2 linked regions of the Danio rerio genome follow. The protein of the gene in region 1 binds, or shares a complex with, the protein of each later gene. Links are inferred from orthologs where the notes say so. Each region holds a gene or a part of one and is shown in the gene's direction. Other genes may lie near its edges. The genes, in order: kcnj11 and abcc8.

Region 1 (3,412 bases):
CTTTAATAACATGCCAAGACATGCTCATGATCGTAATTTAACAGTTTTAATTTGGATCAAAAATTTTTGGAAAAAACAACAAACGAGATACAACGGATTAAAATTCTCACAACTTTAAAATTACAGTTGTTACATTTTATTAAATAGTGTTTATGTAAAACATGTAGAGGTTTTAGTTATATGGAATAATTCAGTTACAGATCTTAAATGAAATGGAACTGTAACATGAAGGGGACGCTGAGTGCAGGGGACAAATGAGTGCAGATCCAAAGGCAAGCAACAGTCAACACAGGAGTAACAGATGTAACATTTTGCAGGGAATCCAGAGTCATGATCAAATAACAGGCAAATGGTCAGTCCCGCAGCAAACAACATAAACAATTAACAAGCAAAGCAAGGCAAGGCAAGGCAAAAGAAGAGAAACGCGTCATAATGTTCACAGTAGCAGCATAACAAGACTAAGCAATTGGTGCGTGCGTCTGTGCTGCTTTTAAAGTGCATGTAATCAGTTCATAATGATCCTCCGACTGTGTGTGTGCAATCAGCGGAATCTGAAACAGGTGTATGTGAGCACTCTTAGTGTGTTACTTTATTAAATGGATTTGATCATAATAATCTAGGAAAAGTCTGTAAAATAACAGTGTTTCTCTGTAAACCTTTTAATGAAAATATCTGTTGATTTATTATTTTTTGCACTTTTTTCAACAAAGAAATTTTACCTTAATTTTATGGTTTTTGTTTGGCAGCAGCAGCTGCCAGTCATTTGACCTTTTTTTTACTTTTTTTTTTTTTTTTTTTTTACAGAGCAAGTAATTACAATTTATTACTTTCATTTTACTTAATGTTAAATGTACTTAAAAACATGAAAAAACATTGTAAATAATATGTCAATGTTTTTGTAAAAAACAGACAAATTGCTGTAATTTGTCATTACTTATATAGTACATAAAATAACAGTCAAGCCGTTAATTTACAGAAAATGTTTGTGATTTTTACGAACTTTTGAAAATAATTTAAAATAACAGAATACTGTATAAATAATACTGTAATTTCCCTGTATAAAAAAACACAAATGTCAGTAATTTGTCTTTAATAATAAAGTACCTAAAATGAAAGTCAAACGGTTAATTTAGAGAGATTGGTTGTTATTTTACTAAGTTTTGAATATAATGTGAAATGACAAAAAAAATACAGTAAAAAATTTAAGGATATTTTCTGTAAAATTAGTTTTTTTTTAACAGTGTAGGGAAAGAGATATCTACAAACGCTTTTTGCTGTAATGAGCAGGCTAAATCATCAATGACTATAGTACAGATAGTAATGCAGCCCTCACTGTCATGGGTATAGTGGTCTGTACAGAACATGTCTTTTAATTATTGACGCAGAGCGGTTTTTTGTGGTAAAGTTCGCGTTTTGCACGCATGCCCTGTGTCTGCTCTGTGCAGCGCAGTCACATCTGAGGATGTGTGAGAAAATATCCGGTTGCAATTGACAGGCAGCGGCAGCCGGTGAACTAAAAGCGGCGCCTTCCCACGGGACCTCCTCACCTCTAGTGAGCGAGTGCGCGCGCAGCGCCAGGACGGACACGCGGAAAGTGCGCAAAAGCTGTGCCATGTTACAACTTAGCAGCGCGCCAGCGAAACAGTAGCATGGACCAGCAATGTTGTCCAGAAAAGGACTCATTCCCGAGGATTATTTGTTGACTCGGTTGGCGGAGGATGTGTTACAGCCAAAATTCAAGACTAAACAGCGGAAAGCGCGATTCGTCGCCAAAAACGGAACGTGCAACGTCGCGCACACGAACATTCGCGAACAGGGACGGTTTCTACAGGACGTGTTCACCACTTTGGTGGATCTGAAATGGCTTCATACTCTGGTGATCTTCACCATGTCCTTCCTGTGCAGTTGGCTTTTGTTCGGGATGATCTGGTGGCTGATCGCCTTCGCGCACGGAGACCTGGATTTGAAAGGCGAGGACTTTGTGCCGTGCGTAACGGACATCCACTCGTTCTCCTCCGCCTTTCTGTTCTCCATCGAGGTGCAGGTGACCATCGGCTTCGGAGGACGGATGATCACGGAGGAATGCGTTTCGGCCATCGTCATACTTATTCTTCAGAACATAGTGGGTCTTGTGATAAACGCCATCATGTTAGGATGCATCTTCATGAAAACGGCGCAAGCAAACCGGCGAGCGGAAACGCTCATCTTCAGCAAACACGCGGTGATAACTGTCCGAAACAACAAGCTGTGCTTCATGTTTCGCCTTGGTGACCTGAGGAAGAGCATGATTATCAGTGCCACCGTCCACATGCAGGTGGTAAGAAAGACCGTCACCAGCGAAGGCGAGATGGTGCCTTTGGACCAGATAGACATCCAGATGGACAACCCGGTGGGAACCAACAGCATCTTTCTGGTGTCCCCCCTCATCATCAGTCACACCATTGACAAAAACAGCCCTCTGTATGATCTGTCCGCGGACGATTTACTGCATGAGGACATCGAGGTGATTGTCGTCCTGGAAGGGGTCGTGGAGACCACCGGCATCACCACTCAAGCGAGGACCTCTTACCTGTCCGAGGAGATTTTATGGGGTCATAGGTTTGTGCCTACGGTGTCTGAGGAGGACGGGATGTATGCTGTGGACTACTCGAAGTTTGGAAACACGGTTAAAGTGGCGACGCCGAACAGCAGTGCGCGGACTCTCGAGGAAGCGGGAGGGATGGAGAGGTTCAAACTGCAGGAGACCAGCGGCGCATGCGCAGCAGTGAGGAGAAGAGTCAAACACCCAAACACCAAAGAAATGTGACTTGCTTCTATCATTATCCTCCTGAGACACGACAAAAGTTTTTTTTAAATATAGATTTTTTTTTTCAAATAATAAATCTCCGCAATTTGATATATTAAACATGTTTAATGTAAATCAGAGATCGATTTATATTGTCTTAAAATTAATAAAAAATTAAATGATCAATTATATCAGGTTTGATTCGCATTTTGGCGATCAAATACAATCAATGTACACGTGCTTTTACATACAGAACATTTTAAATACACATGTTTATTTTCATGTTTTAAAAATGATGTGGAAATTAAATGTCAAATATGAGTGAATCTTCCAACATCACTCAGACTAATAGATATATTTATGTAAAAAGAAAACTATAAGCAACATATGCTATAAATGCATACATAAAAGAAGGTGATCATGCTAACGTTTATTACGCTTAAAATTATTAAAAACGTTTTGTTGAAAAAAAAAATCTGAATGATTTAAAATAATTATTTTCATGGGGGGGGGGGGGGGGGGGGGGCACTATGACCTTTTTTATGTGTCATTAAACGATTCTTCTAAAAATGTGCCTGACAATTATTGTTATTTTTTTAATAAACTTTTATTCTAGTCAATATTATT
Region 2 (4,359 bases), about 130 kb from region 1:
TATATTAAGTTTGAAGCAAGCAGTGCAACATGTTTTTGGTGCATTTATTGTGAACATCGTTTTTCTTAAACAGTTCTTGTGAGATGAAGGTTAGATAAAGTGTTTTGTGTTCAAAAGAAGAAAAAAGATTTGTGTCAAATGAATGATGAGAAAATGATGACAGATTTTTTATTTTATTTATTTTTTTATTTTTTTATTTTTTTGCTGTGAACTATCTCTTTAAAGAAAGCTACTGTATTTTTTGACAGGCTAAGGACTTAATGTCATGGCATGTCTTATTTTTGTTTGCAAAATGCTGTTTTATGTACTCCAGTTAAAATAACTGGGTTAAAAATACCCCAACATATAACCCAACTATAGGTTATTATAGCACCTTCTCACACTGTAAAAAATCTTAATCTTAATCAAATTTTTGAGATCAGAGTTGAATTTACTCATAAAAATGACTCAACTGCATGTTTGTTCAATGAAAGTAAAAACATTGTTCAGGAGCCTTTCAATTTCGATTACTTAATTTGAGCATTTAGTAAACAATAAAGAGTTGAGTTAACTTAAAATTTTAAAGCCACCGGCTGCAAAGAAATTTGAGTTTTTGCTTCTGTTGAAGTTGGGTCAAAATTTTCAGTAAAGTATTCTTGACTTAAACCAGCTTTTTCAGTCAACTTAAAAGAATTTAGCACAACTTGCAGCCACTGAAGCATAATAGACTCAAAATTTCTTTGCAGCCGGTTGCTTTAAAATTTTTACCTCAACATTTTATTTTTACAGTGCAACTATTGGTTATTTTAACCCAATGCACTGGGTCCTATAAAATTATATCCATCATATAAAATTTAACAATATAATTTTTAACAATTAAGAGTGCTGGTGAAAGGGATATAAAAGTCACATCACAGAGAGGTCATTTGATTCAAAGATAACAACAATGTTATTGCATTTGGTGTCATGGTGGCGCAATGGTTAGCACGATCAGAAAGTCGCTAGTTTGAGTGCCCACTGGGTTAGTTGGCATTTCTGGAAGGGCATCCGCTGCATAAAACATATTCTAGATAAGTTGGTGTTTTTTCCGCTGTGGCGACCCCTGATTAATAAAGGGACCATGCCAAAAAGAAAATGAATTTTTGCGTTATGGCTTAGATAAACTTTATAAAGCAAAAACAACTTTATGTATGCATGTTAATACAGCTGTTCTGTATCAGTTAAATCAGTTGACTGTTGAAATTAAAATATTTTAACCCAACTGGTCGAGTTATTAAATAAATAACCCAATTAAGGTAAACAAAACAACCTCAAAAGCACCACATATCTAACCCAACTGGTTGAGTTATTAATAAATAACCCAACAACGCACCAACTATTTTTTAACTCAACCACTGGGTTAAATGAACAACTCATTGTTTTTTAGAGTGGTGATGTATGGCAACTGATGATATGGCGGTGTCTCTTTGTTTTGAGCTATAGGGAGGCGGTGTGTTGTGCTGACGACACCCTTTACCCACGACCCGATTGGTTAGTTCGCACTAGTATTATCTTCAGCACCTGTCGAATTTGGCCCATATACGCAGAGCGAATGATGATTAGTAGGGTGCATTCTTGCAGGAAAGCAAGAATATTAGCTTCTTTTTTAAATATCAGCCTGAATATTAATTAATCCAAGGTTTATTACGTTTATTCGACATCATATATTTGAGGTTATGCTCGTTATCATTTATCATTACATATACTTCAAGCATTTGCAGCGTGACACCGATTACGGTATTCGTTTTTGTGTGATTTACTGAGCAGTGTTGAGTCAGTGATTGATCGCTTGTATCGCGCGTGTGTACGTGACGTCTGAATGAACTGGATTCCTCGACCAACTTTCAAATCGATGTTTGGGAATTTGAAACTGTCGGATTCTGTGACGGCTCTTTTCAGCACCTTGGTTAGTTCCTTTGAGGTAAACTCGAACCATATGGCAGACGCACGGACAAATTTCAGCTGTTTTTTATTCCTGACCTATTCCCGTGTGAGTTAGGCGCTTTTTTTTGAACGACGAGGTCTCTGGACTGGATTGAACACCATCATATGAAGTCGCAATTTTGTTTACGACTGGAATTTCAAGATGATGATCACACGCTACAGACCGGTATGCAAGTTTCTTTGTGGCTTGGGTTAGAAATGTTTATGATGTTATATTACGTTGAAAATTTGCATTTACACGACGTTATATCGTTAATAGCATATGTGCTGCTTGTTTTTTAACTGATTTTCTGTGAGGAAGTTGTTAAGAAAACCTTACGAGCTTTTTCCAAAACATTGCTCTTGCTTGCGGGAAAGACCTCCTCTCCCATGTCAATTTCGTGAGCTTTATGTCGTTTTATAACCCACGGGACTACTTACAGCTTTAAATTTCAACACCTTTTTAGTTTTGACAAGATTCGACAGGATTCAGTGAATGAAAGCAAGTGAAAGATGTTCTGCGCATGCGCACTCAATTTAGAATGAATCCTGTGTTTAAATGGGGTAAAGCTCAAAAGATCAAAAATCAATATACTACAGCCAACTTTTCTTTACAGTGCTTGCGGAAATATGCAATTATATAGCTTTACAAAGAGACATTAAATACAAATAAATGAATTTAAATGGAAAAAAATAATATATATATATGTATTTAATAAGGCTTGAATTCATGATGTAAGATTCATAATGTTGCACACTAACAGAGAGTGTCTCAATGACCTGATGACTAAGAGCTTTAATCTGGTGTAAATAAAGGACGCTTGATGTGAACTACCGTTCACAGAATTTAATGCACACACAAGATGACAATAGGCACATTACTTATTTGTAAAATCACATTACTATTTGTGCTGCAAATTATTTCAAACCAAGTTAATCCATGATGATGTTGATGATGAATACATTGCTTTGGTAATCTTTGCTGAGAGCAAAAGATGGCAAGGAGAGCGCTAAAATAAAACCTCGTACTCCTGTCTCAATTGGAAACACATCGCAGTACTGTAGTTAAATAATCAGACATTTCTGGTTCACAGGGAATTGAATATATATTGACTGAAATAATATACTCCAAGGCCCACTTTTGATTGACCTGTCGAGTGGTGCAGATTATAGAGTCATGCTACTCATTTAATCTTCAGCAAATGCTTCTTTATGGGAATTAAATGATGGCAGTGCATTTAAGTTTCCGCTCCACTGCATCTGCTGGTCCGAGAACATTAAAAATGAGGTTGCTTACCTTGTTTATTTTTTAAATGTACTGTGACAGGAATGCACTTCAAGCAGATAGAGTCAATTTGCACGTTGGCTTTCTGAAATAACACATCCATAACACACCACATCTGTCTGTCTCCCCTTGAATATCTTATGGATCAACTTTATCCTCTCACCACCGTCATTAGGATATCAGAGTATTTGTATGGGTTTTTTTTACATTGGATTGTAATGATAAGTCGCAGACCCTAAACACTGTAGTATCTAATATCTGTATGGATCACGTAGGCTGTCTACACACTGAAAGGTGTAATTTGTCAAACAGCTACTTTTAATTGAGATTTATTTTAACAAAGCCTTGAGTGTTTAAGAAAAGCCTGTACTTGTATTGTAATGGTCTATAGACATGTACAGTAGTTTATGGAGTAGGGCTGCACGATTCTGGCCAAAATGCGATTTTTTTTTTGCTTAAAATCAACATCACAATTTTCTCATAATTCTGTAAATGTAAAACAAAGGTTCATATAGTAGGCTATTATATGGTAAAACAACAATAATAATATTAGTCCTAGGTGTAGGTCTACTGTTGGTAAAATGCTACATTTTGTATAGACTTCGAATGACTTTAAATACGTCCTGGTTGTTAATTCACAGTAAAGTGATTACATCAGAATATATTTATTCATAATGCTGATGTTTAATCATTATGTTTGAGACATATGTTTGTCATTTGTCATTGAGAAAATTATCAGACATTTTTTTCACTGATAAAATTAGACATTTGTCATTATCAGATTCCCTCTTGCATTATATTCAACATTGTATACTGTAGGCTAGAGTAGTTAAACCGATACTGTTAAACAATTAATTTCATTCACTACACTTTGTGTTCGCTATGAAAGATAAAACATATAAAATGCTTGTCATAATCATGACTTTAAAATGCAATATGATCATTTATATGATGTGCGCGGTTTTGGTTTCACTTTCACTGCCGAGTGCGGCTCATGTCATGAAAATGTACTTGAAAATCATACTTCCAGATCATTCTGTGCGAAAAAACAAAACATTATTTACAAATTTGTTAACTGTCATTCACAGCCTATGCAGGTTCTGTTCACTAAAGCAGACATCATCGGTGGGCAT

The links.
Region 2: the proteins of kcnj11 (region 1) and abcc8 are in contact, whole or in part, in a cryo-EM structure (PDB 7S60), measured with the Homo sapiens proteins. The link is inferred for Danio rerio from reciprocal best matches to the Homo sapiens genes KCNJ11 and ABCC8. Residues at the interface, in NP_000516.3 of Homo sapiens: Val44, Ala45, His46, Lys47, Asn48, Ile49, Arg50, Gln52, Gly53, Leu56, Val59, Thr62, Leu63, Lys67, His70, Leu73, Ile74, Met77, Cys81, Leu84, Leu85, Met88, Trp91, Leu92, Phe95, Ala96, His97, Gly98, Leu100, Ala101; in NP_000343.2 of Homo sapiens: Phe5, Ser12, Ala13, Tyr15, Arg16, Val17, Val21, Asn24, Cys26, Phe27, Ala30, Val33, Val34, Val37, Phe41, Phe44, Ile46, Phe48, Ile49, Gly50, Trp51, Gly52, Ser53, Ser55, Lys57, Val58, His59, Ile60, His61, His62.

The regions. Positions count from the first base shown.
Region 1 is NC_133200.1:24,059,495-24,062,906, forward strand, and holds kcnj11 (ATP-sensitive inward rectifier potassium channel 11), read left to right. Parts: upstream 1-1,660; coding exon 1,661-2,806; downstream 2,807-3,412. UniProt on the Homo sapiens protein: Inward rectifier potassium channel that forms the pore of ATP-sensitive potassium channels (KATP), regulating potassium permeability as a function of cytoplasmic ATP and ADP concentrations in many different cells.
Region 2 is NC_133200.1:23,925,535-23,929,893, forward strand, and holds the start of abcc8 (ATP-binding cassette sub-family C member 8), read left to right. Parts: upstream 1-1,550; 5' UTR 1,551-2,104; coding exon 2,105-2,128; intron 2,129-4,359. UniProt on the Homo sapiens protein: Regulator subunit of pancreatic ATP-sensitive potassium channel (KATP), playing a major role in the regulation of insulin release.